Linked DNA regions of Oryctolagus cuniculus. The protein of the gene in region 1 interacts with the protein of each later gene in a pairwise test. Links are inferred from orthologs where the notes say so. Each region holds a gene or a part of one and is shown on either strand. Other genes may lie near its edges. The genes, in order: SPRED1, CREB5, CDKN1A, IL16, NCALD, HPCAL4 and PIH1D2.

Region 1 (4,539 bases):
TTTCCAAGAAATTGGTGATTTACACTTGTTTTAAAGGTTGAATCAGGTGGAAAAGAAGAAACATTGAAGAGTGTTAATAACAGACTCTACTGTAATTAAATCCCTATAAACAGTGGCTTAAAGAGACAGAAGAAAAAAAAACAAAAAATACGTGTAAGGCCCAAATAAAATCCTACTTCAAGGCAATTCTAACTATACAAAAGCCTTTAGGGTTTCTGCCATAATATCTCTTTTGTTTCTTCATAATGTATATTATAAATAATAAATTTGCACTTCAAGACATTTCATATAGTAAAGACACATAAATTATCAGATTAAAAGCTTCATTCCAAAGAAGTTCATTCTTTGTGGTTTAGCCAATACACAAGCACACAATGTCAGCTCCGGCCAAACTGATTACCAAAAGAGCACACCATTTTCTAAAATAAAAGTTTTTTTCCTAAGTAAAACCTGCAAGATTTTGTTCTATAAAGAGTTAATACTGTATATAAATTATTATACACTTAAAACTATTATTCTTATCTTACCGAAATTAATAGTACTACAAAGCTAAGTAATAATTTACTAGTAAAGCAGAATAAATTTGTAAAACCAGATCTGTAAATATCTGGGTGAGTTATTTTCCAAGTTATCACATACTAAATACATTTAAAATTAAAAAAAAAAAAAAAAGAGCAATCCTCCCAGTGAAAATTACCATTTGGTGTTTCAAACATCAACATCTTGGAGATTAATTCAGTGGTAATATCTTCTCATTTTAGTATAATAGCAGTAGCATCCACTGATATCACCACATAAAAAACTTATGCACTCTCAATACACCCATGCCCAGTACAAGAAAAGGACTCATTTAGTAACCATATTTTAGCACCTGTGTCAATTCACATTCCATCATTTGCTGTCCAATTATCTGAAGCCACAAGAAATATTCAACACTTGGAACTAAACTGATAAATCCCTTCTCATCTGTAAAATAAAACTTAACATTTTTGAATTGAGCTACTTGCATGCAAGATTAATAAAAGTTACTGTCATTGCGTTCAGTATTTTCAGCAGCTTTTCTCTTAACCAAGTATTATCTTAGATAGACTTCTTGATCTCCCTCAAAGTAAGTCTAATCTGCGGAAGGCAGTGAGACAGTGTACTGCACTGTGAATGGACAGCCAGGTATTTTATGAATGGAGGCGATCACGTGATCCCAGCACCTCCCCGAACTGATATTTCCCACATAACCGTGTCAACATTCTGAGAACAGGGGTAGTTGTTTATGTGTGCGTATGTTTTTTAAATTTAATCTGAAACTTCAAATTCTCCTTATTTCCTGAACTCAAACAGCTACACGAAGACAGACAAACAAGCTTCGAATTTTTCCTTGGGAAATTCTTTCAAGATGTCCAAGGTGATAGATGTTTAATTATTTTTTTTATGAATGAAGACTGTGCTATGCAAATGAGGGCGATTCACAAAAAGCGAGAGAACATGGCGGCCACTTCTGCTTCTAGGCTGCACTGACACTGCAGCAATCTACCTCCTTCTACACCCGCACATCAGAAGCTTGTGCTCTTAAAGCGGGTTGGGGGTTGGGGGTTGGGGGTAGACGCTACTTGGCATGTACGACAGACCTCGGCATTGGACTTTTAAAGCTTTTTCTCAAAAAGGTCTGACTTGAGGAATGCACTTTATTTAGAGGAATGCATCCTAAAGGCTAGTCCGAACTCACTTAACTCTTTCCAACCCGCCAAAGACAAACAAAACTTAAACTGAATGACAAGGAAACGGATGCTAACATCCTGCACGGAATTAAAACCCTTCTCCATAGAAAACCGTGCCCAACACCATTATTCCTCCAGGCAGCTGTTACGTTAAAGTCAAATGTTTAAAAAGGCAAATAGTTTGGAAAACATGGGGACATCCCAAAATAAGCAAAACTTAAGCCAGAATGCTCTAGAAGTTGATGAAGTCACCAACATGTTAAGCAACGTAAAATTCTGTTCAATTAACGGAAACCGGAGTATTTTAACACAACCCAAGGACAAAAATTAGAACTCCAAATTCTTCAATGTTCTTGATGAAGACACGTCCAATATTCCCAAAAGTAAACATAACAGCTCGACATCCCCCACACCCCAGGAGTCCTTAATCCTATTAAAGTCCAAAAATGTTTCCCTAACCCCATTTTTTTACAGGAATCTCACAGGTCACAAGTTTAAAAGGGGGAGTGGGGGTGGGGTGAAGGCTTAATAGGTATTTAAGAGTCATTGACTCATCGAATTAAGATTCAAGAGCAGTTTGCTACAGGAGGTGCTCCCACACATCAGTTTCCCAGTGAAATAGCCAGACAGGAAGCACGATGGATATATTCAAGATATGTTGGCTGACGATAAAACGAAAGAGGACAGGCCAAGGGTCTCCCAGGCGGAGGGGTCACTGCTACTGTCCCGATCCGTCCGCTTACTCCATCTCAGGGATGTACAACTGCCATCCCAACCCAACACTGAATCTGAATCCCCTTCCCCGACAGAAAGCAAGTTAACGCAGGGAGAGCGGAGGGCTGCTGCCATGAAATAAAATGGCTCAAGAAATCAGTTACATCCAGAAGCAGACGCACCGAACTCTCCAGGGGCGCAGGCTTTCGGGCGCCCGAGTCTCGAGGGGTCTGGGGCAGTGCAGACGAATGACTGGGGAGTGGGGGATTAGCAATCAAGATCAATGAGGCGCTTACTCGTTGTCAGAAGTCGCCGTCTCCTCGCTCATCTTTCCCTCAACGCGATCCGATCTGGAGATGGAGGAGCAACAGCAGGCAGGGGGGCAGCAGCAGCAGCACCGAGGGGCAGGAGGCAGCGGCGGCCGGGGGGGCGCGGGCGCAGCGGCTCAGGGGCCTCACCATGGTGGATGCCTCACCCGGAACGGTGCCCCCCCAGCCGGGAACCCCGGCCACCCCCGCAGGGGGGTGGCGGCAGCAACCTTCTCCGTGGCGACCCCAGCCTCTTCCCCTGCCTCAGCGCCCAGCCGAAGGATCCGAGGCGGCCAGGGGAGGGGAGGTAGGGGTGGGGGAAAAAAAAAAAAAAAAGAAGGTAAGGGGACTGCAAAGGCTGACTGGAGAGCTGCTCCTCCGGCCGCCGGGGTGGAGCGCCGCGGGGTCCGGCCAGGAAGGAGCGGGCGGGCGGGCGGAGAAGCCGGGAGCAGAGGCGGCGCTTCCCTCAGGGATGCGGCGAGGAGGAAGAAGAGCTGCGCCCGGTGGGGGCCGGCGGGGGAGTACCGAGCCCAGGCTGCGGGCGGCGGCGCGGTCCCGCCGGAGCCCACCCCACCATCTCCCGCCTCGCCGCTCTGGGCTGCCGCTCAGACCCCGGCGGCGCCTGGGTCGCTGCTGATCAGGCACGCACAGAAACGGGCGAGGGGCCCCACGGCGGCGGATTCCTCCAGACACGCTCCAGCCGGGACTCCTCCTGAGGGGGAGGAGGGGTGGCGGGGAGCGGGAGGCGAGGGGCAGGCGGGCCGGTGGCTCCCACCCGGGCCAGAGAGGAGCGAGCCGGCGGGCGGGCGCCGGGGAGGAAGGGGGACAAGGCGCCAAGGAGCAGCGGGAGGGGAGCGGAGCAGCCGCAGGTCCCCCGCCAGCCCGTGCCCACCGGCGGCTCCGCGGGCCAGCACCTCACGCCCGCTAGAGGGGAGCCGCGAGGGGGGCGGCGGAAGCGCTCACGCCGCCCGCTCCTTCCGCCGCCGCCGCCGCCGCCGCCGCTGCCCGAACCGGGGGCGCCCGCGGGAGAAGGAGGCGAAGTAGTCCCTCGCGACTTCTCCCGGTCGCTGGCTTCCCGCGGGGCTAGAGCAGGCGCAGGGCGGGGCTGCCGAGCTGGGCAGCCTGGGCTCTGAGGAGGTGTGGAGGGGAGGACTGAGAAGCTGCGGCCTGCGGGCGAATCACTGCAACTCGAAGTCGTGTGCAGCATAGCAAGTTTCAGGAAAGTAGTCCCCTCCTCCCTTCATTTCCCAAATCGTTGTCGAGCCGCTCGGGCGGGGAGAGGAGGAGGAGGAGGAGGAGGAGGAGGAGGGAGGCGGAGGGATACGCCATGCGCCGCGCTCAGTGTGCGTGCGCGCGCTCCAAACTCTTGGCACGCCGCGGAGGGGGCGGGGGTGGGAGCCGCGAGGGGAGCTGCGAGCGAGGGCGCATTGTTGCAGCGCGCTGCTTGCTCCCCGTTACTCGGCTTGCACTCTCCGGGTGGCTGGATCGAGCGGACTGGAAAGATAGTGTGTTCCGGGAGGAAATTCTAGAGGGCCCTCTTCTGTGTGTGTGTGTGTGTGTGTGTGTGCGCCTTCCTTGCAAAGAATGGAGCTGGCAAGAGTTCATCTTTAGTTAGTGGGGGGTTTTACCGGCAGGGACTGTGCAAAAAGAGCTCCGCCTGCTGTCCCTCTGGTTGCACTGCTGCTGTCCCCTAGCTGCGTGCACAACGTGTGTGTGTGTGTGTGTGTTTGTGTGTGTGTTTTAATTCCCAGTGCCTGGATTCTTACTGCGCAAGGGGTTTGCTGTGCAGGGCATTCATCTTCCAA
Region 2 (4,421 bases), on another chromosome or scaffold:
ATCTCAATTCTAATGCTTGTGGCTCTGAAGCCCTCTGATTTGCATGCATGGTTCCTGTTCCTACTGATGAGTCAAGTTTTACCAATCAAATCTCAAAGAGCAGGCTCCCAGACTCAACTCGCTTTTCAGATAATAACGTCCACCTCCAAGCATTCTCATATATGCTGACCCGGGAAGATAATATATGACAGATTGGTTCTGGGCAAAACACACCTGCTAGAGTGAAAACAGTTTTTGTTGCTCTATAACATAAAAGTATTTCTTGGGTTTGAAAATGATTTTTCAGATCCTTTTTTTAAAGATGATGAAATTCCTGCCTTCATCTGAGATGGTTTCAGCTTATTTTTAGTCCTACTAGCTTTGCTCTCAGAGGAAATCTGGACAGCATAATTTTCAATTTTAGTAATAGTAGTGAAGAAAAAGAAAAAAAGAAATTAAGTTATGGTCAATTTGGGAGGACTACATTAGAAAAAGTAACGTGGCAGTTAATACATAAGTGGGATAGAAATTGCAATGATGTGATCAAGGCATCCATTCACAAGTTCTGATTAAAAAAAAAAAAAGCGCCATTGAAAGGTTGATTGCAAAAGACATGAAAAGAGCAGAGCATTCAAAGCCATGGGTTAAGCTCCACTTGTGACCGTGGCGACCATGGTAGTTTGGCTCCTGAAAACGGAGCCCAGCGTGGAGGCAAGGTCCCCAGCTGCGTGCCTTGGGTGAGCCAGGGGACACCCGCAAACCTGGGGGTCTTCTCTATAAGGGAAGAGGTGGCATTGACAGAAGGGTCTCCCCGCCCTTTGATTTCACTGGCAGGATCTCCAGGCCCAAAGGACCCCTTCTCCCTCCCCAAGACCAGTGCAAGGCAAACATCAAGGGGGGGAACATTCACTCCTCGCTCATTCCAGGGTGGAGATTAGAAATGTGACCCTTAGGGAAATAGGAGAAGTGGCAATATGTATTTCTAAAGTGATAAATTGATCCTGATCTATTTCTCAGATGAGAAAAGGGAAACCAGAGTGAACATGGAGGAAGAAATATGAAAATGTCAATGTAATATATGTTCAGAAATTTATCCTAAACTCTATGTTCTCTGAAAACCAGAGAAGCCTCAGTAAGGGCTGCACGAACTTTCCCCGTGTTTCTGGAAGCACGTTACCACGAACTGCACATTCTAAAAGCTTGCTGTCTCGTTTTAGATTTTCTTATGTTAAATCCATGATTTGTGATTCCCAACAATGGAATACTAATGGATGCTCAAAAAACACTAATTGCCCATTTTTTTTCCTAATTACAAAATGTAATAACTCTTTCATGAAAACATTAACCATGATGTCATTTTAAAGTGCCAGACTTCCTATTGAAAACACTGCCGCAAAATAGATCGCTTATTTGGTTTACAAATAGCAACACAAAAAGGTTTTTTAAATCTGTGCCACATATCTGGAAATGCGTATTTCTCACATTTAATATTGGAAGCTACTGCCCCCCCTTTATTACCTTATCTCAATTGCATAACTTTGTAAAGTAGAATTCAAAGAAATAGTCCTAGATTTAAATCTTTAAACACTAATGTATAGAAGCATTGGTGGATTCCTGTAGTCAAACTGGACAAGATAATGAATTGACTGAGATCATTGTTCCATCTTCATCCAAGAAAGCTGCCTCTAAAAAAAGATCTTAAATTGCTGAAGAAATCCAATTTGTAAGAAGCATATAGATGGGAAACACCAGCCATGATCACATTAATTCTGTGACTAACGGCATTGCTTTGAAGTGAAGAAGACAAAAAAAAAAAAAAAAAAAAAAAAAAGACAAAAAGAGCAAGTGCACTCACATCCCAATTTTAATCCAATGATAAAACTTAAAGACAAAGTTCACATGTTGGCGATGCAGCAAGCAAACATCACATGCTAGCAGAATAACTTTCTGCTTCCTAAGAAGATACCTCCCTGGCTAAGGAAATACTGCAGAATGGAGAGGAATGGTTGCTGAAAGTCAGTCCCAGTGAGAACTCAGGAGAGAAGGGATCTGACAGAACCATGGAGCTACCACCTCTTCAAAGAGAAGCTGCAAAGTCTCAGAGATGGAGAAATAAAGGCCTGGTTTCTCCCGCTTTGTAGGAAAACTCAGGTATCAAGCCTGTAAAGGCACAACTGACTTACAATTGACAAGCCATCTGTAGCTACCAGCAATTAACATGCAAAAACAGCTGAAATGGAGGTACTATCAACGGAGCAAACATGTCTACTCCAAGGAAAGCTGAAAAATCAAAACCTATGTGATTCAGTAAGCATTTTTAAAGTCATGAGTCCTTATAAAATGGAAAAGCAAAGGAAAATAAGTCAATTTATGGGGAGACACAAGTGAGTTCCTTTGTTTGTTTTTAAGTCTTAAAACTAACGGAAGAGCTGATACACAGTCAAGCATCCTTCCTCAGGATCACAGGGGTCTAGGTTTGGAGGTAGAAAATATCTTCCATTGTTTTTGTTGATTTTTTAGTTTTCTTTTTAAAGCACTCCTTTCTTATCAAAACTTCATTACTTTTGGAAGTGACTCATGAAAGCTCCCGAAAAAGGGAGTCTTACCTAACACATGACTTACGGTGCCTCCCCGCCACTCCATTGTAGTCCACATACATGCTCATGAACATATTTTACTCCATAAATAATTCTCTTATTCACACATGCACAACCTTACACACCACACCAAATGCTACAAGTCCCAGGAAACTGACAAAAGCAACATCAAAATTCTGCACAAAATAAGAATTCCATTTCTGCAATCTGTGAAAATAACGAGAGTGCGACTATCGGACCAAGTGCAAAGTTTTTTCGCAGCTTCCCAAGCGTAATCAACATCACCTTACCATTATCTGCAGAAGAAAACCAGCCACGTGTTGCTTCCTGCAGTCTCCAAGTTTCTTTCTAGCAACTTCTCTTTCTCACCAGCAAGATCGGGAAGAAAATCAGTCTGAGTACCCGCCTCAGTATTTCAGAGGAGAAGATTGTGAAACCAGCTCTCTGTAGACAGAGCAGGTTTGGGGTTTTTACAATCACTCCTACCACTCACTTAGAGGGACCTCCTTCCCTGCCTCGCTCTCTAACTCTCAGTAATGAGACTAATTTTTCCAGTAGCCTCGAACTCCCTAGATTTAACGGACATGGAAAATGTGACTACAAACTTGTAGAACTGTCTAGCCTCCAACCTTGCACAGAAGCAACTTTGTGGGCGCGGAGCACCTCGCAAGCAGCTACACGCTCAGTTGAGGCTCCTACACTGTGCAGCGCAGAACACCAAATAGCAGTGCGCCATCTAGTTAGCAAGCAACAATCTCCATGCCGGGGGGCGGGGGGGAGGGGGGACACCTTCGCACCCCGGGAGCTCAGAGCATGTCAGCCGCTCTAAAGGTCCAATTGTTTATTTAAATAAAAAAAAAATATCGCTACGGAGATAATCCACATCGAGTGGATATGGGAAAGTTTAGGTTATAATGGCACTACAAACTTTTACATCTAACTTTGATTTACAAGATAAAAGCAAGTTTTAAATTAAAAGGGCTTTCTGTTAATAGAGCTTATTATTCTGAGGAAGGGAATGATTTTCTTCGAAAGTTGTCCCTGGGTGCATGCCTATTATCTTTGCTTTTCCCCTTCCACTAATGAGCATTCATCTAAAGAGCCTGTTAATCCTCTGATGTGTGCTTCTGGTCAGAGGTAACAGTTTGAATAAAACCACTAATCACTGATCACTAAATCACTGATCATTAATCACACCCTCCAGTGCCTGTGACCCGGGCCGTTTTTCCCTCTAGCTCTATGCATCACAAACAAGAAATTGAACATTTTCGACGCGCGTGTATTGTGCGGGGGGCATACGATTGCGTCTCTGTCCCAGCATCAGTCACAAACGGCGCCACGAACAGGAGTGAGAACGCGGCCCGGAGTCGCACCCACGCCTACCCCCCCCCCCAAGCACCGCTTTCGCTCAGAAGCGAATCAAGGCTGCTAACGAAACGCGGGGTCACCAGGAGGGTGCCCCAGATGCAGAAGACAACCTCGGCTTCTGCTGGTTTGCACAGACTCCACATCAGAGCGCGTTCTCCCCGTCCCTCCTAATTCCTCTTGGTAATTGTGTGTGTGTGTGTGTGTGTGTGTGAGTTTTTGCTGCACATCTACGTCCCCGCCCCCTCCCAGAAGGTTCTTTTCACTTGGAGCCCTCGAACAAGTCACGCACAGGGGTCCTGTCTCAGCTGCCAGAGACGGAGACTGACTCTCCGTTCCAAGACTTGGGCGTTCACCGCTTTAAACGCGCAAACTTCGCAACGCGCGCGGCGATTTGTCGCGCGGTCCTCTGCACGCCACGGCGCGCTCGGCCTCGCTTTGGAAAAGAAAGGGCTCATCTTGCTGTTCTCAGCCAAACTT
Region 3 (4,346 bases), on another chromosome or scaffold:
GCAGTTACAGCCGCTCCAAGCCTGGATTCTGCCTTCTACTGGCATTTCTGCTCACACAAACACTCCATTCTTTGCAGTTTCCAGACAGCAAAACTGCAAACGGGACAGGTGAAGGCAGGAGGCGAAGGTGAAGGAGGAGGAGGTTTCGTGTCCGGCAAGAAGCGCCAGTGGACACTTCCGGATGCCCCTATCAAAGGCTCCTCAGTGAGCTGCTTGGAAGTGATGGCCAGCGGACCTTTCCCTCATCCTGGGCCACAGAAACACACGGGGACCACAGTGTGGTCCCGGCAGGAGGCAAAAGGCCAGCATTGCCACCAGAGCCAGCTTGGGGGCGGGGGGAGGTCTAGCCCCAGAACTGGGTGAGCGGTGGGGGCTGCTCTAGTGAACTCACCAAATTTGCTCTGGGGAGGGGGAGGCGGCTGTAGTGGGGTGCAGATTGGCTCAGGGTCTGACTTCTCCCTTTCTTCTGGAGGTCAGCTTGACCCTTTCTGAAGAGTCCCCGATGCCTCCTTCCCTGGTGCATTTGATAAACAGCAAATGTGCCTACTTCATTTTCTACAAAAGCAATTTACTTATGTTTATTTGAAAAACAAAGGAAGATTGACAGAGAGATCTCCCATTCCCTGGTTCATTCCCCAAAGACCTGCACCAGCTGGGATTGGGTCAGGTTGAAGCCAGGAACCAGGAACCCCATGTGGGTCTCCCATGGGGCCGGCAGGGACCCAGGTCCTTCAGCCATCACCTGCTGCCTCCCAGGGCCTGCATTAATTATCTGGAAGCTGGGATTGGAAGCAGAGCTGGGACTGGAACCCTGACATTGCACCCAGGTGGGATGTGGCCATCCCCAAGAGAGTCTTAACCACCTGTGCCAAGGGCCCACCACAACATTGCAGGTTCTGCGGGCCTCGGTTCGCTCCTCTGTGAAATGACGGGGTGTACGCCTGGCACAGGTGCTTCTGGGAGGGGGCTCAGCGGGAATATAGTGGGGGCGTTTCTGAACATTGCCAAGACAGGCACATCATTTTTACTATTTATAATTTTTTAAAAAAATTAATGTCATCCCTTCTGATCTGTTTTCTGCACCAGGGAAATCCTTGTCCAGAGTCGGCTAGCACGGGGGCAGAAAGGGGCCTCATCCTGTCGCCCCTGCCTCTCCCTGGCAGTGCCAACCGCCCCCCTGCCCCGACTTAAAAAATTCAGACTTGCGGCTCAGTTCGCGAGGAAACGAACGCAGGCGCCGGCCGTGGGAGGAGGGCGCGCCCGCCCGCAGCACGCGAGGCTCCCGGGCCGGCAGTCCCGTTGGAGCTCGGCCAGGCTTCCTCAAGGACCAGCGCGCGCGCGGGTACCGCCCGGCCCCGGCTGCGAGGTGGGCCGAGCACCGGGGCCCGCCTCGAGAGGCGGGCCGGGGCGGGGCGGCGGCTATATCAGGGCCTGGCCGAGCGGCGCCCGCCGAGGTGTGGGCAGCCGCAGAGCCAGTCCTCGGAGAGCCAGAGGCGGGCGCCGAGTCACGAAGACACCGAGACACAGAGAAGGTGAGGCTGCGGCAGCCGAGCCCCGGCGGCAGCTCGGAGCGGAGCCCGGCGTGTCCGCGTGTGGCTGTCGCGGGGACCCGCGGCCGCCGAGCGCGGCGTGTTCACAGATGGTTCCGTGGCAGGTGGACGACTGCGTGGGTCCGGGCGCGCTCGCAGGGGCGCGCGTGCCGGGGGGCGGGACGCGCCGGGGACTCCGGGTGGACAGCGGAGCCAGAGCACCAGGGATCCCCGCCCGCGCGCGGCTCCCCTCGAAACCCAGCTGGGGCGAGGGGAGGCGTGGATGTAGCAGCCCGGGAGCTCGCTCGCGTCGTGGGGACGAAGCCACTGGCTCCAGGAGGGGCGGGGGACGCAGAGTGGCACCAGTTTATTTGGGGTCGGTGCTGGGGCGGGTCTCGGATGCTGGTTCCCGAGTCCAGTGCCCCTTCATTGCCGCGCCCGCCAGCCGGCGGGGCTCTGAGGTCAGCGCCGGCTGTGTCCCTGGCCCTCGGGAACTTGCCAGGACACGTCCCCTGAGGACGAGGGAGGCGGTGACTCACTGTGACAAGGAGACCCCGGGGCATGGACCCAAGCTCCGTCCCCCGCCCCGCCGCAGACTCAGTCCCCCCCAGTCGGCACAGTGACCTGTTTGGCCGGCACGGCATGTTCCCAGGGAAGCCGGGACACTCAGAGGTCCAGGAGCGGGTGTCCGGTCCCCACTCCGCGGCGCACCATCGGGAACCTGGAGGGGGACGGGCCGTCGCAGGGGTTCCACCCACGGCTTCCCCGCCGCGACTTGGAGGACCCCGGCCCAGCCTGCCCTTGGGCCCGGCCCTGGAGCCCCGGGCGAGAGCGGAGCTCGGTACCGCCGAGCAGTGGGACGCGCCGCCCCCAAGCTCGGGGCCAGGGGACCGTCAGGAGGGGTCGCATCGCGGCCGGGTGGGGCTTCTGGGGGCGGGGGGCGCGGCTGCCTTGCGCGCGGGCGGGGCGCCCGACCTGGGCTGAGCGCAGCAGGGGGTGGGGGTGCGCTCAGGCACGGGCTCGGGCAGCGGCCCCTCGCGCGCCCCCCGCCGCGGGCGCTCCGAGACCCTGCGGCCGGACCGGGCCCTCGGGGGCGCCGAGACTCCTTCCTCCCAGGTTCCCGCCCTCCACGTCGCGGTTCGGGGAGGACTTTCGAGCGGTTTTGTTTTCTTTGCGGCCGTCTATTTTTATTTTCCAGGGATCTGACTCATCCCGTGCTTTGGGCGTGGAGATAAGGTGGAGGGGCCAGGTCCCGGCGCGCCTGTGCATGCGCAGGGGCCGCGCGCGTCTCCGAGTCCGCCGCCCCGGAGTGTCCGTGCGCGCGCGTGGGGTCTGTGTCTCTCAATGTGCCTACCCGTGCGTCTGCGGCTGTGTCGGTCTCTGCGTGTCTACCTGTCGGCGCGCCCCTGCGTGTGTGTGTGTGTGTGTGTGTGTGTGTGTGTGTGTGTGAGTCGAGTGTGCGGACGGCTCAGCGTGACGTGTTTGCGGCGCGGGCCCCTCCTGCCCTCCCCGCCTCGGGTGACGCGAGGCCGGAGTGGAAGCGAAGTCCCGGCGGGCGGGAGCGCGGGGCAGGAAACTGACTCATCACGGCCGCTCCCGGCGCCCGGGCCCTGCCCACGCACCGCCCTCCGACGCGGAGTACCCTGGGGCCCGGCGCCCCCTGCCGGCCCCGGCGCGAAGGGCCAGCCAGCCCCGCGAGCCCGGGGCGCCGCTCGCAGCCTCCCCCCACCACCCAGGCAGCGCCCCACGGCCGTGGGCTCTACAGCACTTACTGAGCCCCTACGATTCACTGGCCAGCTGGGGGCTGAAGCCTGAGGCATCCCCGGGGAGGTTCCCCTCGGTGGCCTGGGGAGGAGAGACCCAGGAGAGGACAGCGCTGGTGGGAGGGGGCGGTCCCGCCCCCCGCCCTCGCCCATGGGGCACCCACGCAGCGTCCTTGTCAGACCCACCAGTGTGTTCCCCTCTTGGCTGGCACCTCAAGAGGGCCTAGCTGGGTGACGGTGCCAAACACCGACTTAAATCCCCTTCTGTTTGAACTGAGTCGCTCGGGTGGGGATAGGGGGTCGATGCAGATTTCTAAAAAGTGCCCCCCAACCGTGGGGATTCTGGTGGGCCTCAGAACTGGGGAAGGGGGCCAGGAACCCAGGATGACCGCTTGCGGGCCTCGATTCAGTGACTACCCCAGCCTTGGTCCCCACTTCTCTGTAAAGGAGCTCATTCAAATCCAGTTTTTTGGAGGATGGCTGTGCCCTGGAGAGGGTGGACAGCGGTTACCGGAGCCCTTTGCGGCTGCTGCCCTGTGGGACCTGTTTGGGGGGCAGTGGCCTTTTGCCTTTCTAGCTGTGCGGTTTGGGATGCAAGTCTCATCTCGTAAAGCAGCTGCCCTTTGAACTTGGCCTGAGGTCACTGGGTGACTTTCCTCTCCAGCCAGCTGCATGGTGGAGCTAGGGGCTGTGCTCAGGGTGGGAGGGGCCGTGGGGTAGGTGTGGCAGGTGTGGCTTCAGCAGAGCTGTCCCCCCCAGAGCCTGTGAATCTGGTCCTGTCCCCAGGAAAAGCTGGAGTCAGGCCAGAGCAGGGCGCCCTCGCGAGCAGACTCCCCCTCACTTTTCCGGAGTGGGAGGTGTGCAGCCTGGGTGGACCAGCCATCTTTCATGTCCATTGCCCACAAAACGGGTTTCTTGGAGGCAGGCAGGGCTGTGAAGGGTCCAGACTTTGGCTCACCTGGTGTGCCTGGCAGGATGTGGCTCAGCCGGGGGAGAGACCGCCACCCCGCCCCACCTTCCCCCGAGGCCACCCACCTGATGCCATCCTTGGGAA
Region 4 (3,834 bases), about 43 Mb from region 1:
CATCGCTCATCTCCGTGCTAGGTGGCAGGGCCTGGGTGTGAACTCAGCCTTCCTGTTCCCTGAGGCCATCTCTTGGTACCACACCACCTGCAGCAGGTGGGGGCTTCCCCATCTAAGCAAATGGGCCCAGGATGCTGTTGAGACTTAACCCAAGGTCATGGTGCCAACGATGGCAGAATCAGCTGCAGTCCAGGTCTTCTGACTTTGGAACTAACAAGATCATTCCAAACCCAACTTCAAAATCAGAACTATCTTCCACTGGGGACATGGGTTCTAGGGGAACCACTGTATCCACCCCAGGCTTCCCTCTGGGCCTCCATGTCAAAGACGGTTCCTCCAACAACAAACCCGGTCCTGTGCCAGAGCTTGTGGGGCACAGGGAGCAGGAGGCCCTTTTGGGTCCCAGTTTTGAGAGCCACCAGCTGCACCCGTGCCCCTTGGCCCCTTGTTTTGGTTGAGGAGCCTTGGGCCTGGAGTGCTAAGGTCACTGAGCCTGTTAGAGACAACAGCAGGGGCCTGGCCCCTGACCCCTGGACTCCCCACCCAGTGTCCCTGTGTCCACAACCCCTTGCATGGGCCTTGGGGGCTTCCAGCCTGAGGAGCAGCCAGGGGTCGGGGGAGGGGCGGTTTCCCACAATGGCTGCAGGTGGCACATGATTTCCAGGGGAAAGGCACTGGTTTGCACCCCAATCGTGAACAAAGTGTCAACATTTTCAGTGAAGGCCAATCCAGGACCAAGGAAGGCTGACTCTACCTAAATATTTTGTTCACTATGGACTTTAAAAATTCATTTTTGAGTTTTTAAAATATTGACTCGAGGGGCTGGCGTGATGGCCCAGTGGGTTAAGCCACTGCCTGCCATGCCAGCATCCCAACCCGAATCCCAGCTGCTCTGCTCCCTGCAAATGCTCCTGGGAAGGCAGCAGAAGAGGGCCAAGCACTTGGCCCTGGCACCCACATGGAGTTTCTGGCTCCTGGCTTTGGCCATTGCAGCCATTTGGGGGAATAAATGAGTGGATGGAAGATATTTCTCTCTCTCTCTCTCTCTCTCTCTCTCAATCTGCCTTTCAAATAAAAATAAATCCTTTTAAAAAAAATGTTGCCTCGAAATTGTACTGATCTCGACTTCTGTGCGCTTTGAAACCCACTTCCGCTTTTCTCGTGCCTGCCTCACTCCAGTCCCAGCCCTGCTGAGCTGAACCAAGCCCAGGGCTCAGTCACTAGGAGGACCCCACAAAGCAGAGGGGTTCAGAGGGTACCCGAGCAAAGGAGGAAAGTGTGAAAAGGCAGAATTGGCCCTCACTCAATAGGCCCATTCGCCTCTCACATTGGGTGGAGGTGGTGGAGAGACCACCCAGGCCACTCTGGGACCTGTTCCCATGGCCACAGCTCGAGCCAGACGCGCACCTTTGAAGATCCGGTTGATGGTGATGGGCTTGTCTCCACGCAGCGAGCCCCTCCCACCTTCCAGGCTGAAGCCCAGCCCTGCTGAGGTCTTCTCCAAGGTCACGGTGCAGATGGCAGCCTCCGTTGCTGGGGAAACCACAGGGCTTGGTTAGAGACCCGCCCCTCTCTCCCAGGGCCATGGCACCGAGCCTGGGGGATGCTGCCTGCCGTCCTGGGCCCCTAGGCAAGCAGTGGCATGCATCGTGGCCACAGTTGAGGTGGGACACATGTCGCCAGGGCCACAGAGGACCGGGCAGCCCCCAGGACTGCCTCTGACGCATCCTCCCATCCCCCGTACCTGCTGAGTTGGGAGAACTCACCGGATTCTGCAGGGACATCGCTGGCTGCAGAGGGTGCTGCCGCAGAGTCACTGGAGGGGCTCAGGCCAGGCGAGGCCTCCGGAGCCGGCCTCCTTGTGACAATCACTGCTTGCCGTGGGTCTCGCGCTTGGCGGAGGATGGCCAGGGCGTCGTTGTGCGTGGTCCCCTTGAGGGACTTGCCGTTGATGGAAAGAACCTCATTGCCCTTCTGAATGGTGCCTTCCTGGGAGGCTAGCCCGTTTGGAAACACTCTGTGAACCTAAGCAGAGCAGGAGCGCTCAGGGCCCAGCAACCAGCCAGGCCAGACTGCAGGAGGAGGGAGACCTGAGCCGGTCAGCCCCAGAGGGCACACAGCACCTGACGCCGTCCTGGGTCAGCACTGCAGGCTCCGGGGCCAGCATCCCTTCCCCTCCTCCACCCAGAGCCCAGGATCCTCTCCCTCCCATGCCTGCGGGTGTCTCCGCTGGCTTCCCATCTGGTTTCCTTTGCCTTACTTTCCCCCACCAGCCCTTCCCAAAGCAGTCTTCTTGACATCTCCATTCAGTGGTGTATTGGTAGGTGGTGTGTGAGAACCGGTTTCTAAAACCAGAAACCCGCAGGACGCAGGGTTAAACCAAAGCTCTGAAAATGTCCAGTTCTGCCAGGCAACTGGCCACGTCGGAGCCCCAGGGACAGGCCGCACAGGACGGGGGTTCCCAGGGAAATGCTCGGGCCCCGGCTTCCGCAGAATGCGTTTTGAGAGACACCTGCTTAGGGCGTCTAGACCTTGTCCAAGCCGGGTCCCTGCCATTCAGAGGGCTGAACGACAGGACGCATGGGCAGGTTCCAGAATGTGCTCTGGGTCATTCTGCTCCCTGCCATGACCTGAACAAGGATCTTGCTCTCTCTGAATGGCTTCGGTGTTAGGAAAGCTCTGAGAGGTGGCGAGGAGGCCCAGGCTGGAAGCCCCGCGCCTGCATCCCGGTGCCTGCTCTTAGAAGCAGTGCAGGCACTATGGATGCCTCCACCTAACGTGGGGGAAGCTTCTCCAGGCCTGCAGGGGGCGCCACCTAAGTCTCCTTTAATGAGTCTGGAAAGGAAGAGAAAGAGAAAGCGGAAGTCCTGTGTGTGCGTGTGCTTGGCCGCCAAGTGTCACTTCCTCCTGGCTCCGGGGCCCAGCAGCTGCAGTGTCTCAGGGGAGGGCACCCCCCCCCCACCTGGGGTGGAGACGTCACTGCCCATGGGTAGAGAAGAAGACCCGGAGTGTGGGTCCCACCAGCAGACCGTGTTCTCTGTGAGCAGAGGGGAAGCGCCCAGCCAGGAGCCCTTCTGTCACACCCAGCTATGCACTCAGCAACAGAAATGGTTCTTCTGCACTCACAGTCTCTTGTGCAGTAGAGAAGCTGACCCAGAAATAAGGGAGCTCCTGCTGGTGTGTGTTTGCTCTGGACTGACTACCAGAAATGTGCTAAGTTACCATTACCAGGGGGGATGGGGGCTTTCTTTTTTAATGTTTATTTATTTTAATTTACTGGAAAATCAGAGTTCTACAGAGAGAGAGGAGAGGAGAAGAGAGGAGAGAGAGAGAGAGAGCAAGCGAGCAAGCCTTCATTCACTGGTTCACTCCCCAAATGCATGCAACAGCCAGGGCTGGGCCAGGCCAAAGCCAGGAGCCTGGAACTCCATCCAGGTCTCTTACACGGGCCGTAGGAACCCAAGCACTTGGGTCATTATCGGCTGCCTCCCAGACTGCATTAGCAGGAATCTGGGTTGGAAGAGGAATAGCCAGGACCCAAACCAGGCATTCCGATATAGGCCGCCATCCCAAGTGGTGATTTAACCCGCTGCACCGCCATGCCCACTCCTTGGTGGCTTTAATGCCAGCCAATGCTGTGAACCGGAGGCTTTGTCTGCCGCTGTGTAGGGAAATTGCGATGAGCCCAGCACAGGCCCTGCAGAGGGTTCACCAAGACGGCACAGCCATGGGGTGGCAACAATGCACCCACGATCTGTGAAGACAGGGGGACCAGAACCCTCCTGCGTGGGGACAGCAGCTGCCAGTGCTGATCAGACTGTAGGGGCCACAGGA
Region 5 (4,450 bases), on another chromosome or scaffold:
GAGCTATGGAGCCTGTGGGTGTTGCTGTGACTTGCCCTGTGGGTGTTGTGACCTTGCCCAGCGCTTCCACACCAAGTTCACCGCACAAACCCCTTCAAGGGCTGCAGCTCCACCCCCGGCCCCCAGCCAAGCTGCACTGCCTTTTTATGAGGGAAGGAAGGAAAGAGGCAGGTGCCAGTCACTACATTCTCCATTGTTTTAGTCTGCCCCGCACGGTTAAAGGGCCACCCCGGAATTAGCTCCAAGAGAGGAGCCTCATTTCTTCGGGCCAACCCTTGAGCCCTGAGTATTTCTCGCCTCCTTTACTGCCTGCTCTATTATTCTTCATGTTTGATTCTGGCTTTAGTGAAAACGATGGAACACTCTGACTGATAATCACTTATTCACTCAACAAACATTTACCCACAACAGAAGCCGTCACTCAAAGCACATGCAGGTTGGACGATTGACAGATGGCAATGCAGGGAGCTGTGCGTGAAACACCATGGCTATGTGAGGTTGGGGACAACTCAGCTGGCTGGGGAGGAGCAAGCCCGGGGATCTGCTGGAAGGTGACATTGCTGCAACTGAGATGCCCAAGAGACGACAGGTTCTGAGAGTCTGCAGCTTGAGCAGGAGGCTCCCCGTGGGGAGAAACGGGAGGCGAGGCCGAGGAGGAGGCGAGCCCGGGATCGGCACCAAAAACCTGGAAAGGAAACCAGGCGCCATGATAGGCCTGGATTTTGCTTTCAGAACAAGTGTCATGCAATAGATGGGGCCAGGACGTGGGAGCCACGAGGCCTGTTGAAGGCAGTGGCAGCAATGCAGGCGATGATGAGGCTAGGAACCAGCCCGCTGACAGCAGGAACTGGCCGGACAGGAACACAGGACAGCAGCAAAGATAACAATCAAGAGAGCAGGCATCTGGTGCAGTGTTAAGACGCATGCGTCCCACGTGGAGTGTCTGCCTTTGAGCCCTAGCTCGGGTTCTGACTCCAGCTTCCTGCTAATGCGAGCCCTGGGAGGCAGCGGGCGGTGCCTCCAGTACTTGATCTCCTGCTGTCCATGTGGTTGACCCAGATGGAGTTCTGGGCTTCTGGCTGCAGCCTGACCCCAGCCCTGGCTGTTGCAGACATTTGGGGAGGGAATCAGCTGACAGAGAAGATCTCTCTTTGTTCCTGTCTCGCTGCCTTTCAGATAAGTAAAAATGGAAATAGTAAGAAGAAAGGCTCGCTCGCTGGCACCGCGGCAGCACCTTCTAAAGACAGCGCATGAGGTTTGGTGCTTTCGGGTGTATTAACTCGTTTAATCCTCACAACCCCCTGGGGCGGCAGAGATGCGGGGCGGGCACCTCTCCAGGACCTCCCGCCACAGAGCAGGAGACAAAAGAGGGTCAGGAAGGAAGCACCAGGGGGTCTGGCAGCTCCCCGCAAGCAGCGCCCACATCCCCAGCGGCCACCCTAGCGACTCTCCCCACGGGCATGGACAAGAGGTCTTCACAGAGCGGCTCACAGGGGAGCCTCCAAGGAACGTCCAGGGCCCTGGCTTGGGTACCTGAACACCTGCGTTTCAGTTTCCTGGGCCGCCTCCTCTGCGGCTCCTCCCCACATCCGTCCTCGGCCCCCTCCCCTCCCCCTTGGTAGTCCTGGCATCTCTGCCCCGCGCCATAAAAACACAGGCACCTTCCCATCGGAGGGAAACCCTCCGGGGGCCTGGCCGGTGAGCGCCGGAGAGGTCGGAACCATCCCTGCCGGCGAGCCCCGCTCTCGCTAACTCAGGGGCTTGGGTCTGTTATTTTTCCAATGAGTCCGAACTGGGAAAACCTAAAAGCAAGCCCGCGTGGTGTCCGTCTCAGACGGCCAAGACTCGCCCGCCACCGCACCGATCGGAGCGCGCGCTTCCGTCTGCGGCTGACAGCCGCGCGCGTGGCCGCGGACTCCCCACCCACCCGCAGGAAGACCCCGAGCCGGCCCCGGAGGCCCGCAGGCGGCCGCCAAGTTCCAGCAGGCATCGGGCAGCAAGAAACTTGTGTGCGATTTCCTGCGCGCAGGGAGACCTCCTGCCCCTCCCGCGCGGATACAACCCACTTTGCACATCCTGCTTCTCTCGGAGCTAAAAATACATCGGTATGCACTGCAAAACACTCCGACACATCTCGCCGGCACACCCTCGCCGAGGCCCCCCCGGGCCACCGACGCAGGTCTTTCCGGTCCCAAGTCCCGAATGCAGATCTTTGCCTTCACCGGGTTCAGCCAGCGCCTGTCGGCCGCTCCCAAAGCCCCCTCCCCACACGCCCACCCCTCGCGCCTGCGTCCCGCGGCTTCCCGGGGCCGAGCCCGGAATCCAGCGGCTGCCCACGACCCTCAACACCCCCCATCAGCCGCACGGAAGGGATGCTTCGGAGGGCCGCGGACCACCGGGCTCACCGACGCCCCCTTCCGACCCCACGCGCCCCCGCCCCGCCTGCCCCGCGAGCCCCGGCAAAGTTGCTCTGCCCGTGCCGCGGCCGGTGCTCTGGTTGCGCTATGCTTTCCCTCCCAGGCACTCGAGGGTGAGCAGACAGACACGGGACTCGCCAGGGTGAGCTGCACCCGGGAGGGCTCCCAGCTCCGCGCGCTCCCAGCGCCCACCCCTGCGCCCGCGGGGAGCGCGCGCGGATCCCACCCCAGCAGCGGCTCCCCGCGCCGCCGCCCCCGGTGCCCCCGCCCCGGCCGCAGCTCCGACTCGGCTCGGGCTCCCGAGCGGCGGAGGGAAGCCCTGCGACTCACCGCGTCCGCCGCTCCCGGCGTCTGTGTCGCCGCGGGCGAGGCGGCGGCCGCAGCGGCAGCGCCTTCCCTCCGCCCGCCTCCCCCTGGACAGCGCGGCCGCCAGCCGCGCCCCCAGCCCCAGCTCGGCTCGCCACCTCCCTCCTGTCCGCCGCCGTCCCCTCCCCACTGAGGCTCTGCAGGAGGCACGCCCCGGGCTGCAAGGGGGTGCCAAGCCGAGACGCGGGGATCGCAGGTGCCGTGGACTCCCCACTGTGCCACGGTGCAGCCACCGGCTTATGCTGCATGTGCCGCCTGATCGCAGCCCACCGCCCAGGCTTTTGGTCAGGCTGCAGCGGTGCTTTCCAAGGGTGCCATCGGCTTGCCTGCTGGGGTCGTGGGGCGGTCAACCTAGAGCATCCCCTTCGGAGCTTCGGAAACTGGGGGGGAGGGGGCTTGACACCCCGCGGTGAAGTTCTAGGTGATCTTGGAACACAACGCAAAAGCCTCTTCCGCACCGTCCCCTGCACCACCAAGCCCGCAAGCTAGAAGGGGGCTGCTCTGCTCTAACCAGTGTTTCACCACCCGTCCGAGGGGTCCGCTCCCCTGTCCCCATTGCCCACTGCGGAGTGTGGCACTTTTCACCTCGACTGGGACTGATGAGAAGCCAGTGTCTTCACGGTTTCTTCGCCAGTGTGTACTGAGTGCCTGCAGGCGGCCAGCGCGTGCTCCTGGCCTAGGTGTCTGCCAGGCTCAGCCTCTCAAAAAGCCACTGCAACCTGTGCGCCTCGACCCCAGAGACATTTCCAGAACCCTCAGAAGGACTCCATGGCCACTCATCTTCATCCACTTACGAAGTGGCAGCTATAAAGGCACCATGACCACGCTTTTAGAATGATTGCAAAAATCTTTTCATGGGACCTGTCGTAGAATTGACAGGTGAGTCCAAACGGCCACCAACCCTAATCTGAGCGTCAACTAAAAGGTTTATCTACCCAAAACTGCCCTTCCCTACCTCTGCTGGCTGACATCAACTGGAAAACAGCAATTATCTCACAAGTCACTAGACCGAATCATCAGAGCTGAAAGCCATAGCAGGTGAGCCTGGTGCTTTGCCTGCCTGGACACACAACTGAATCTCCTGGGGATGTTGGTTTTGTTTGGTGTGTGTGTGTGTTAAATATGACGCCTGGGTCTCATCCCCAGAGATTCTCATTTCGCTGCACTGTTCAGGGCTGCAGCCATGCATGAATGAGGGCCTTCTACCTAGGTCCCAGCAGATTCTGATGAGCAGCCAGAGTTGGAAATCACCCTGGGGTGAGCCGGTCCTCAAGAGAGCTGGAGGAACTAGGAGCGTGAACCTGAAGTTTGGAAGCATGGGAAGGTCCAGGCAGGCGGTCTCCCCAAAGCTCCCAGGCAGAACCTTAATCCCTCAGCGCAGCAGTGGTGGTGGGAGGTGGGGCCCGTGTTTGGGACGTAGGGGCGGAGTGCTCTTGGGTGTATTGATGCCTCTCTCCAGGCAGTGAGCTGGTGCCAGGGTTCCTATAAAGCGAGGGTAGCCAGGTGCTTTCTCTCTTTCCCAGGCACTGTTTCCCTTCCGTTTTTTCCACCATGAGTTAAAGCAGCATGTGGCCCTCACTGCACGCAGCTGACCAAACTTGGACCTTCCAGCTTCCAGAACCATGAGCCAAAATAAAGCCTTTTTCTTTATAAATGACCCAGTCTCA
Region 6 (3,834 bases), on another chromosome or scaffold:
TATGCCATTTCAGCCAGTCAGTGCTAGGGAGGAGATAAGCTTAATCCTCCGCCTAGCGGCGCCGGCACACCGGGTTCTAGTCCCGGTCGGGGCGCCGGATTCTGTCCCGGTTGTCCCTCTTCCAAGCCAGCCCTCTGCTGTGGCCCGGGAGTGCAGTGGAGGATGGCCCAGGTGCTTGGGCCCTGCACCCCATGGGAGACCAGGAAAAGCACCTGGCTCCTGGCTCCTGCCATCGGATCAGCGCGGTGCGCCGGCCGCAGCGCGCCGGCCGTAGCGCGCCGGCCGCGGCGGCCATTGGAGGGTGAACCAACGGCAAAGGAAGACCTTTCTCTCTGTCTCTCTCTCTCACTGTCCACTCTGCCTGTCAAAAATAAAAAAATAAAAAAATAAAATTAAAAAAGGAGATAAGCCATGCAAAAGAAAGAGAATGGTGCAGAAGTTATTCTACATAAGGTGAAAAGAGTGTAGAGCAGCTGACCCCTGCGTGGGGTGGGGGGAGGGCCTTCTGTGATGAGGGGCCAACAGACTTAGGGTGGACTGTGTTTGTATTGTGCAGAGAGGGGCTGGGAGGCCAAGGTGGTTGGAGAGAAGTGAGTGAGGGGACAGCGATAGGAAAGGTGAGGAGATGGGGAGCCAGGAACCCAATCTCTGTGCATCTTGTGGACCAGGTGGAGACTTTGAATTTGTTCCGAGTGACGTGGGGAGCTCTTCAGTGATGGCTCTAGATGATGGGGGAGGGGAAGGGAGAGAGCAGCAGAAGCAGAATGACCAGTTAGGAGATGTCCAGATAGTCAGTCACGAGCTGGTGGGGGGCTACAATCTCAGAGGTATAGTGGAAACAGTAGGAAGTGGTTGGTTTGGAATCCATTGAAAAATTAGAGCCAGCAAGATTTGCTGAATGGTTGCATGTAGAGTGTGATGGGGAGCAGAGTCAAGAATTGTATCCGGGCTGGTGCTGTGGCGTAGCGGGTAAAGCTATTGCCTGCAGAGCCGGCATCCCATATAGGTGCCGATTCGACTGTCCTGGGTGCTTCACTCTCCACTTCCGATCCAGCTCCCTGCTGATGCACCTGGGGAAGCAGTAGAAGATGGCCAAAGTGCTTGGGCCCCTGCACCCATGTGGGAGACCCAGAAGAAGCCAGGGCACAGCCAGGCCAAAACCAGGAGCTGGGAATTCAATCCAGGTCTCCCTCATGGGTGACAAGGACCCAAGTACTTGAGCAGTTACCTTCTAAGGCACGCATAAGCAGAAAGCTGGGATCAGGAGCAAGACTGGGACTCACACTCAGACACTGCCATGTGGGAAGCAGGCATTGCCAGCAGGGTTTTACTTGCTAGGCTGAATGCCAGTCCCAGATATCCAGCCTTAATTACCGCCCGGTATCCTCACCTTCCCCCAGTGCTCTCCCCGCCCTGCCCTGCTCCCTCTCATTCACCTCCCAATCCTCAACACCCCTTGTGGGCACACCCACCTCTCTCCTCACCCCACCAGGCTATCTACAAGATGGTGGGCACTGTGATCATGATGCGCATGAACCAGGACGGGCTCACACCCCAGCAGCGCGTGGACAAGATCTTCAAGAAGATGGACCAGGATAAGGACGACCAGATTACCCTGGAGGAGTTCAAGGAGGCAGCCAAGAGCGACCCGTCCATTGTGCTGCTGCTGCAGTGCGACATGCAGAAGTAGAGGCTGGTGAGGGGCAGGGCCCCTGGCCGTGGGGGGCATGGCCGCCTCCCTACCTGATGACCTCTCTGGCTGGTCCTTACCCTGGGGGAGGGGCACTCCAGCCTCACTCTCTGGCCCACTCCCTCCTCTCTGCCCAAGCCCTCCTTCCCCTCAGTCAAAAGATCCTTGGGGGCCCACGTCGCCGTGCTAAAAAGCAGACAGGGCCTCAGGTGTCCTGTCATTTATCCCCACCCCCCAGCCTTGGCCCAGAACCAACATCCCTTGGGCAAGGGGGCTTGGCTTTTGCCCCAAGAGGCAGGGTTAGGGAGGGGGACTGGGGTCCTGCTTTGAGATTCTGCTGTTCCTGGGATATGCTTTGTAGAATGTGGTCTCGCAGGCCCCACTCCAAGAGTCAGATTGGGTGTGTCCTTTCCTGGGGACCCAGAACCCTCGATGGTGGTCTGTGTCCTGCTCTCTCAATGCTGCCTGGCCCCTCTGGCCCCAGCCTTTGGAGCAGCTCTTCAGTTCTTTCTTCAGCTAAAGTTTCTTGAGCACTTGCTCAGTGCCAGGCACCTCCAGGTGCTAAGGATAATGGCAGTTTACCTGACGCAGTCCTGGCCCCCAGGAGGCTCCAGAGGTGGACTTCCGGTGATCAGAGTCTCCCGCAGCGATGGTGGGATGGCGAGCACAGCAGAGCCGAGGGCATGCAGAGGCTGGCGAGTTTGAGAGGAACTTCAAATCTTCCAGCTCAGCTCCACACAAAGCTGCAAAAGAGGGCCAGAAAAGTGTTGGCAAGTTCAGGAGAAATCTGAGTGGACATTTTAAGAAAAATGAAAATTTACATAATAGTTATTTTTTTATTACCCTTTAAAAGAGCTAAAGTCATTTTATGAGTTTAGGATGTTAAAATATACTCTATATTATTTGGTTTCTTATAAAATGATTAAATAAATGTAGAAAATTATAATCGTGGGGGGAAACCTGAGAAAACAGAAGGAAATACTATCAAACTCACCAGAAAATGCTTTCTCTTGTCAGGCAAAGCCCTGAGCTGTCACCATCAGCAGCTTTGTGCTGCTTCTGCTTCCTTTTTATCACCTTTGCCAAGTCCACAAGGGACCCTCTATCACACACTTACTCTGGTCGGGTGCTGACTTCAGGAACAGGAAAAGCAAGGTTTGCCAAGAGTGAGACAAATGCGTGGCCCGGGTCTCGGTGCTTCACTTCTGGGTTTGGTTGCATTTCAGGAATGAGCTTGTTCTTTCACTACTACAGATGCAGAAAGAGGTAGAGGTCAAGGACCACCTAGGCACCGGTCAAGGCTCCCAGGCTGCATTTATGGACCAAATACCTAAAAATGGGCTGGGCATGCTCCATTTGAAAGGCTTTTTCTAACCCCCATCCTACATCTGCCAGGTAACTCATCATCTTCCAAATGTGCTGGCTTCGCTTTCCAGTTTTGCATCCGTGAGCCATACATCTGCATGCTTTGACTGCCAGAAAAAGTCATTTTGCCTCTTCAGCAAGTCTTTCACTTCACTTTCTCCTGTACTTGTGATCAGAAATTAGCTTTGATGTGCCGTGACAGTTGACTTTCTCTTGAACTGCGGGTGAAAACACACAGGTGCTGGCAGCCCAGGGTGGGAGGAAGGAGTGATTGCTGACGTGGGGTACAGGGAGGCAGGGACTGCATCTGCGGGAGAGAGACTCAGTGTACTCCTCACTACTGAGTGCTCACCAGTCCTGCTTCTCTGCAGGTGGAAAGTCTTGGGGATGCTGCATTGGACCTTGAGGTACCAAGACCACTAGGTTGCCACTCTTTCTGTCCTGCTTGTGTCACCAACATGGTGACACTGGGGAGTTGACACCCTCAGACAGTAGCTAGCAGGTATTTATCCAGTAAAGCCTCAAGGAATGTTCTGTTGCTCTCCAAAGCTGGCTATTAGGTGTGTCTTGTGCTGTCAGTCAGCACCACAGACATAAATGTTCAGCAGCTGGGCTCAGCTCGGGACTTGAATCTTCTAGCGGAAGACATTTTCCCAAAAGTGGGGTTCCTTCCCTCCAAAAGATTGAATCTAGCTTTGCTCACAGTCACACAGAATTCCATGGCTTCCAAAGGCTCCCCTATACCCCATTCCATTGCATCCTTGCAGCCCAGGAAGGTG
Region 7 (4,519 bases), on another chromosome or scaffold:
CCACCCATAGACACCAAAACCCATGTATGCTCAAATCCCTTATGCAAGGATACTTCAAAAAGCTCATGGAAAATTGAATTAAAAGGTATGTCTACTTTGGTAGAAAAAGTATTTGAAATCAATATAGTTTTTTTTTTTACAATATACATTCTTCATGAACTCTTTAAAGAACCCCTCATATGCATGGATTTCTCTCTCTTTTTTTGGCAACAAAGTAAACTTAGCTTTTAATTCCATCTTCCACTAACTTTCTGAAGTACTTTCATATAAAATGGCACAGTACTTGCATATAACCTATGACATCTCCTGTAGGCTTTAGAGCATCTCTAGATTTCTTCTAATACCTAATACAACATAAACGCCATGGAAATCATTATCATGCTATACTGTTTAGGGAATAATGAGAATAAAAGTCAGTACAGACAATTTTCCCCCCCAAATATTTTCATCCTGCTGTTCCTTGAATCCGAGAATGCAGAAACCGGTACCAAAGGCCAAATGTATAATATCTCCATTCTTATCTTCTAGATGAAGCTCCCTTCAAGTTCTAACTTGCCTCATGCAAACGACTATATATCAATGTCCAGATCAGATGTCAAATCTGGAACCCCAAAGTTTGCAATGAAGTAACACCCAGATTCGATAGCGTCAGAAACTACCCGTCTACAATTACAGAAACTGATGCCTTTTAGGCATGAAATGCAAGATGACCGAAATTTCTCCATTCGGGGCATCGTCAATCCTATTTTGTACAGAAGTTTCCTAAAACTAGATTAACAAGAATATTCACGTGTGTGGTCACCAGGGGTTTTGTGCGACCACCCCAACGCTCACTCACCCCTCGATCCTGAGGTAATCAGGCATCTTGTTAGTGTGAGACGAAGAACCACTCCATTACAAGATCTCCATCGACCCAGGAAGCCAAGGAGTCAGGGCTCAAAGGCAGCTCTGCAGCTTCACCCGAGTCCTTCGTGAAAACGGAGCCTTCCCACCGGTTACTCTGCCCTCACCCGTGGCCCAGGCCACGGCTGCCTCGCCCCAGCCCAGCCCGACAGGCAGATGTTTCTCCTGGCTGAGGCCGGAGGCTGCGCCGGCGCGGAACCCGGACCGCCCGGTTGACCGGGGCATCGCCCGCTGACGCTCCGCTGGAACGGACACCGGGGGTTGGGTTTCACTCCCCAGGAAAGAAGGGGGACGTTTTGGAGTGGTACGACCTTCCGTTGGGCCCCAGGAAGTGTCTACGGTGCCTGACGGGGCCTTTGGGGTTTCCAGGTAGAAGACAGAGAAAACACCCCCATCTTTGTCACCGGGATCCCTGTCCCCCAGCGGCCTTGGAGCTCCCGGTGACTCTCCCTATAAACTCCCTCCCCACACAAATACACACAAACACACCCATACCGTGCGCCGCAGCCTCGCGTGGCGGGGGTGGGGGGGAGGAGGCGGTCTGGGAGAAAAAGGAGGGGGCTTCCCTTTCAGGCCGGAAGCCGTGCTTGGGAGAAATTCTTCCCACCAACGGGAGCGGCGGCGACTCCCGCTGGGGAATTTCCTGGGCAGTCTAGGGGCCGACCCCTGCAGAAGGGAAGCAGGCCCTTTCTTGGAAGTCAAGTGAGTCCGGCTCAGCTAAAAAGTAAGCCGGACCTCAGAAGGGGAGATTCCGGAACTAGATGTAAACACTTTCCGCCTGGAGCTTCCCGGACCCAATTAGGTGTTGTACCCAGTCCGGTTACCCGGGAAACAAGTGTCGCGATTTGGGAACCGAGAAGAGGTGGGTTTGCGGACCTTAGGAATGATTGCCCGTTAATTGCATTTCCTATTTAGTCTAACACTAAGATAGTACTGGAAGACTCTAAACCTCTTGGGCTCTTTTCAGGGATGTTGTGGGACACCTCTCTGACGGGGGGTGGGGGGGTGGGGGGTGGGCGGGGCGAGGAGGGTCATCCCAAGACCTAGAGGAGTTACTCATAGGTCATCCAAGTGTTCCAGCTTCTCCGTAAAGTGGTTCTCACAATGACCCAAAGGAGAGAAGTATTCCTTCTTTAAGAGAAGAAAAAGAAGAAGAAGAAAAAAAACACCTGAGGCACTTTCGTACATTAATTACTGGAAGTCACACTGCTTGTAGGAGAGAGCTGAGATTGGAACCCGGGCCTTCTCTATCCACTAAAGGACTGAAATTCTGTGGTACTCACCCCTACACAATTCTGGCGATTTCACGTTTGAGGATGCACCATTCAGCCAATACTCAGGGTGTAGGAACAAGGCGATCACCAAGAAATCCAGACTTAAAGTGACTGCTTTGTTCCCTTGGGGTTTTTGACGGTCCAAGTGGAGGTAAGGCCCTATCTGAGAGGACAACTGGAGCACTTTGTAAAGGCTACTAACCAATGACAGAATAAGGAAAACATTTGGGGCTTGCCTGTTAAGTTGCTGTCTGCGATGCCGGCATCCCATATGAACACTGGTTAGAGTTCAGTCCCGGCTGTGGCACTTCCTATCCAGCTCAGACCCAGATAGAGTTCCAGGCTCCTGCCTTCTGTCTGGCCCAGACCGGGCTATTGGGGCCATTTGGGGAGTGAACCAGTTGATAGATCTCTCAGCTGCCTTTCAAATAAAATAAATTACAAAACAAAACAAAACAAAACACGGGGCCAGCACTGTGCCTAGCATCTTAAAGCCCCAGCCTGCAGCGGGAACGGGTTTGAGTCCCAGCTGCTTCACTTCCAATCCAGCTCCTTTGCTAATGTACCTGGGAAAGCAGATGACTCTGCACCCACGTGGGAGACCCCAAAGAAGCTCCAGGCTCCTGGCTTTAGATGTGCTCAGCTCCAGCATTTGTGGCCATTTGGGGGAGTGAACAAGTGGATGGAAGACCTCTCTAACTCTTAAATAAGTCTTTAAAAAAAAATACGTAGGGCCATTGCTGTGGCGTAGCGGGTTAAAGCCCTGGCCTGAAGTGCCAGCATCCCATATGGGCGCCGGTTCTAGTCCGCGCTGCTCCTCTTCCAATCCAGCTCTGCTGTGGCCTGGGAAAGTCCTTGGGCCCCTACACCTGTGTGGGAGATCTGGAAGAAGCTCCTGGCTCCCGGCTTCTGATCAGCGCAGCTCCAGCCATTGCAGCCATCTAGGGAGTGAACCAGCAGATGGAAGACCTATATCCCTCTATAGCTCTCTCTGTAACTCTTTCAAATAAATAAATCCTTTAAAAATAAACAAATAGGTAAAAAATAAAGTGTTGATAATACACTGTTTTAAAACAGGTGGAAAGGAAAGCTGATGGTTTCTTAAAAACAATTTTTAACGAGGAAGAGGAAAATAATCAAATTACACAGACTTTTTGTCCCTTAAGTCATTGTCTTTCCACAGGCTTGAGAGGCCTCTCTTGCCATCAATCATGACATCATCAGAGGGTCTGCTCACCCAGCTTACACAATTCTGGAACCTTCTTGATGATCTTGCTGAAAGTGATCCTGAGCGCTATAATAAATTCATCCAACAGGAGCTGCGGGAGGGGCAGCGGCTGTGTGCTGGACCAGAACCAAAGCTCTGTCTACAAACCAGGATTCTGGTATGTAAAGTTAGTGCCAGGGATGAGGAAGTCTTGAGTAAAATGGTTGGAATAATAGGAGAATACTTTACCCATTAGCTGTAGCTACTTCAATGCAAGGACATTTGAAGGAAATCATCTCTCTAAATAAAAAATGAAACATAATGTGGAATATTTTGCTGAAGAGTAAGAATTGGAAATTCATTCATGATATATTTTGGACATCATTCATGAAGTATTTTGGACGTCTCAAAATTAGATACTTTTTCCTGCTAGAATAAAAAGAAAAGGTAATAGAGTGATTTAGTAGAGAATCATGGAGTTGGGTGCTTTTTCAGATAAAGGAATTATTTGGTTGGCAAGGTAGGAAATGGTAAAATAGGGACAAATGCACCTGGAACAACTGCTTGGGTCAGTTCTCCCTGAGGACCACTTCCTCTAGGAGCAGCAGTTGGGTTCCTGATGAAAAGTCAGCAGCTTTGGGGAATCAGGTAGCTATAATTTCTCACAGTTTTAAAATGTGGAATGACTAAAATCCCTCTTCTGAGTTGCTTTTAGGATACTGTCTTTAAATTAAAAAAAAAACAACTAAGTTTTGACATATGCAAAATTATCTGCTTTCTAGAAACCAAAAGAAAAATTACTTTTTATCAATCTATGTCAGTGGGAAAGGATCCCAGCTCCCCAGTCAACCACTCATCCAGTACCACTACGTCTTGGCCGACCAGAAGACGTCTCTGAAACATCAGGTACAATGAATTAAGGGAGAAAAGGCACATTTAAAATATTTTATTGCAAATAAGCATTTCAGGTAAAATATTTTATTTCATGGAAATATGATGACAAATTAGTGCACCTTTATGCAAATTTAATATTGTTCATTTTTTCTAATATGAACTATTTTAACCCATATAAAAATGCCAATGAATCCCTTTATTAGACTTCTGTATATAGCACCACTGTGATTACCTCTGAAAA

What was found.
Region 2: the proteins of SPRED1 (region 1) and CREB5 interact in binary tests that used the Homo sapiens proteins (3 or more experiments, as listed by UniProt). The link is inferred for Oryctolagus cuniculus from reciprocal best matches to the Homo sapiens genes SPRED1 and CREB5.
Region 3: the proteins of SPRED1 (region 1) and CDKN1A interact in binary tests that used the Homo sapiens proteins (3 or more experiments, as listed by UniProt). The link is inferred for Oryctolagus cuniculus from reciprocal best matches to the Homo sapiens genes SPRED1 and CDKN1A.
Region 4: the proteins of SPRED1 (region 1) and IL16 interact in binary tests that used the Homo sapiens proteins (3 or more experiments, as listed by UniProt). The link is inferred for Oryctolagus cuniculus from reciprocal best matches to the Homo sapiens genes SPRED1 and IL16.
Region 5: the proteins of SPRED1 (region 1) and NCALD interact in binary tests that used the Homo sapiens proteins (3 or more experiments, as listed by UniProt). The link is inferred for Oryctolagus cuniculus from reciprocal best matches to the Homo sapiens genes SPRED1 and NCALD.
Region 6: the proteins of SPRED1 (region 1) and HPCAL4 interact in binary tests that used the Homo sapiens proteins (3 or more experiments, as listed by UniProt). The link is inferred for Oryctolagus cuniculus from reciprocal best matches to the Homo sapiens genes SPRED1 and HPCAL4.
Region 7: the proteins of SPRED1 (region 1) and PIH1D2 interact in binary tests that used the Homo sapiens proteins (3 or more experiments, as listed by UniProt). The link is inferred for Oryctolagus cuniculus from reciprocal best matches to the Homo sapiens genes SPRED1 and PIH1D2.

Annotation. Positions count from the first base shown.
Region 1 is NC_091443.1:61,319,136-61,323,674, reverse strand, and holds the start of SPRED1 (sprouty-related, EVH1 domain-containing protein 1), read right to left. Parts: upstream 2,857-4,539; 5' UTR 2,755-2,856; coding exon 2,723-2,754; intron 1-2,722. UniProt on the Homo sapiens protein: Tyrosine kinase substrate that inhibits growth-factor-mediated activation of MAP kinase. Negatively regulates hematopoiesis of bone marrow.
Region 2 is NC_091447.1:19,973,636-19,978,056, reverse strand, and holds the start of CREB5 (cyclic AMP-responsive element-binding protein 5), read right to left. Parts: upstream 3,006-4,421; 5' UTR 2,870-3,005; coding exon 2,867-2,869; intron 1-2,866. UniProt on the Homo sapiens protein: Binds to the cAMP response element and activates transcription.
Region 3 is NC_091436.1:132,896,850-132,901,195, reverse strand, and holds the start of CDKN1A (cyclin-dependent kinase inhibitor 1), read left to right. Parts: upstream 1-1,409; 5' UTR 1,410-1,532; intron 1,533-2,732; exon of another isoform or gene 2,733-2,859; intron 2,860-4,346. UniProt on the Homo sapiens protein: Plays an important role in controlling cell cycle progression and DNA damage-induced G2 arrest. Involved in p53/TP53 mediated inhibition of cellular proliferation in response to DNA damage.
Region 4 is NC_091443.1:103,877,191-103,881,024, forward strand, and holds part of IL16 (pro-interleukin-16), read right to left. Parts: intron 2,026-3,834; coding exon 1,767-2,025; intron 1,534-1,766; coding exon 1,408-1,533; intron 1-1,407. UniProt on the Homo sapiens protein: Interleukin-16 stimulates a migratory response in CD4+ lymphocytes, monocytes, and eosinophils. Primes CD4+ T-cells for IL-2 and IL-15 responsiveness. Also induces T-lymphocyte expression of interleukin 2 receptor. Ligand for CD4.
Region 5 is NC_091437.1:127,452,500-127,456,949, forward strand, and holds the start of NCALD (neurocalcin-delta), read right to left. Parts: upstream 2,887-4,450; 5' UTR 2,748-2,886; intron 1-2,747. UniProt on the Homo sapiens protein: May be involved in the calcium-dependent regulation of rhodopsin phosphorylation. Binds three calcium ions.
Region 6 is NC_091438.1:133,188,797-133,192,630, forward strand, and holds part of HPCAL4 (hippocalcin-like protein 4), read left to right. Parts: intron 1-1,492; coding exon 1,493-1,690; 3' UTR 1,691-1,696; exon of another isoform or gene 1,697-2,294; 3' UTR 2,295-3,834. UniProt on the Homo sapiens protein: May be involved in the calcium-dependent regulation of rhodopsin phosphorylation.
Region 7 is NC_091432.1:104,017,371-104,021,889, reverse strand, and holds the start of PIH1D2 (PIH1 domain-containing protein 2), read left to right. Parts: upstream 1-1,641; 5' UTR 1,642-1,765; exon of another isoform or gene 1,766-2,328; intron 2,329-3,360; 5' UTR 3,361-3,388; coding exon 3,389-3,562; intron 3,563-4,166; coding exon 4,167-4,290; intron 4,291-4,519.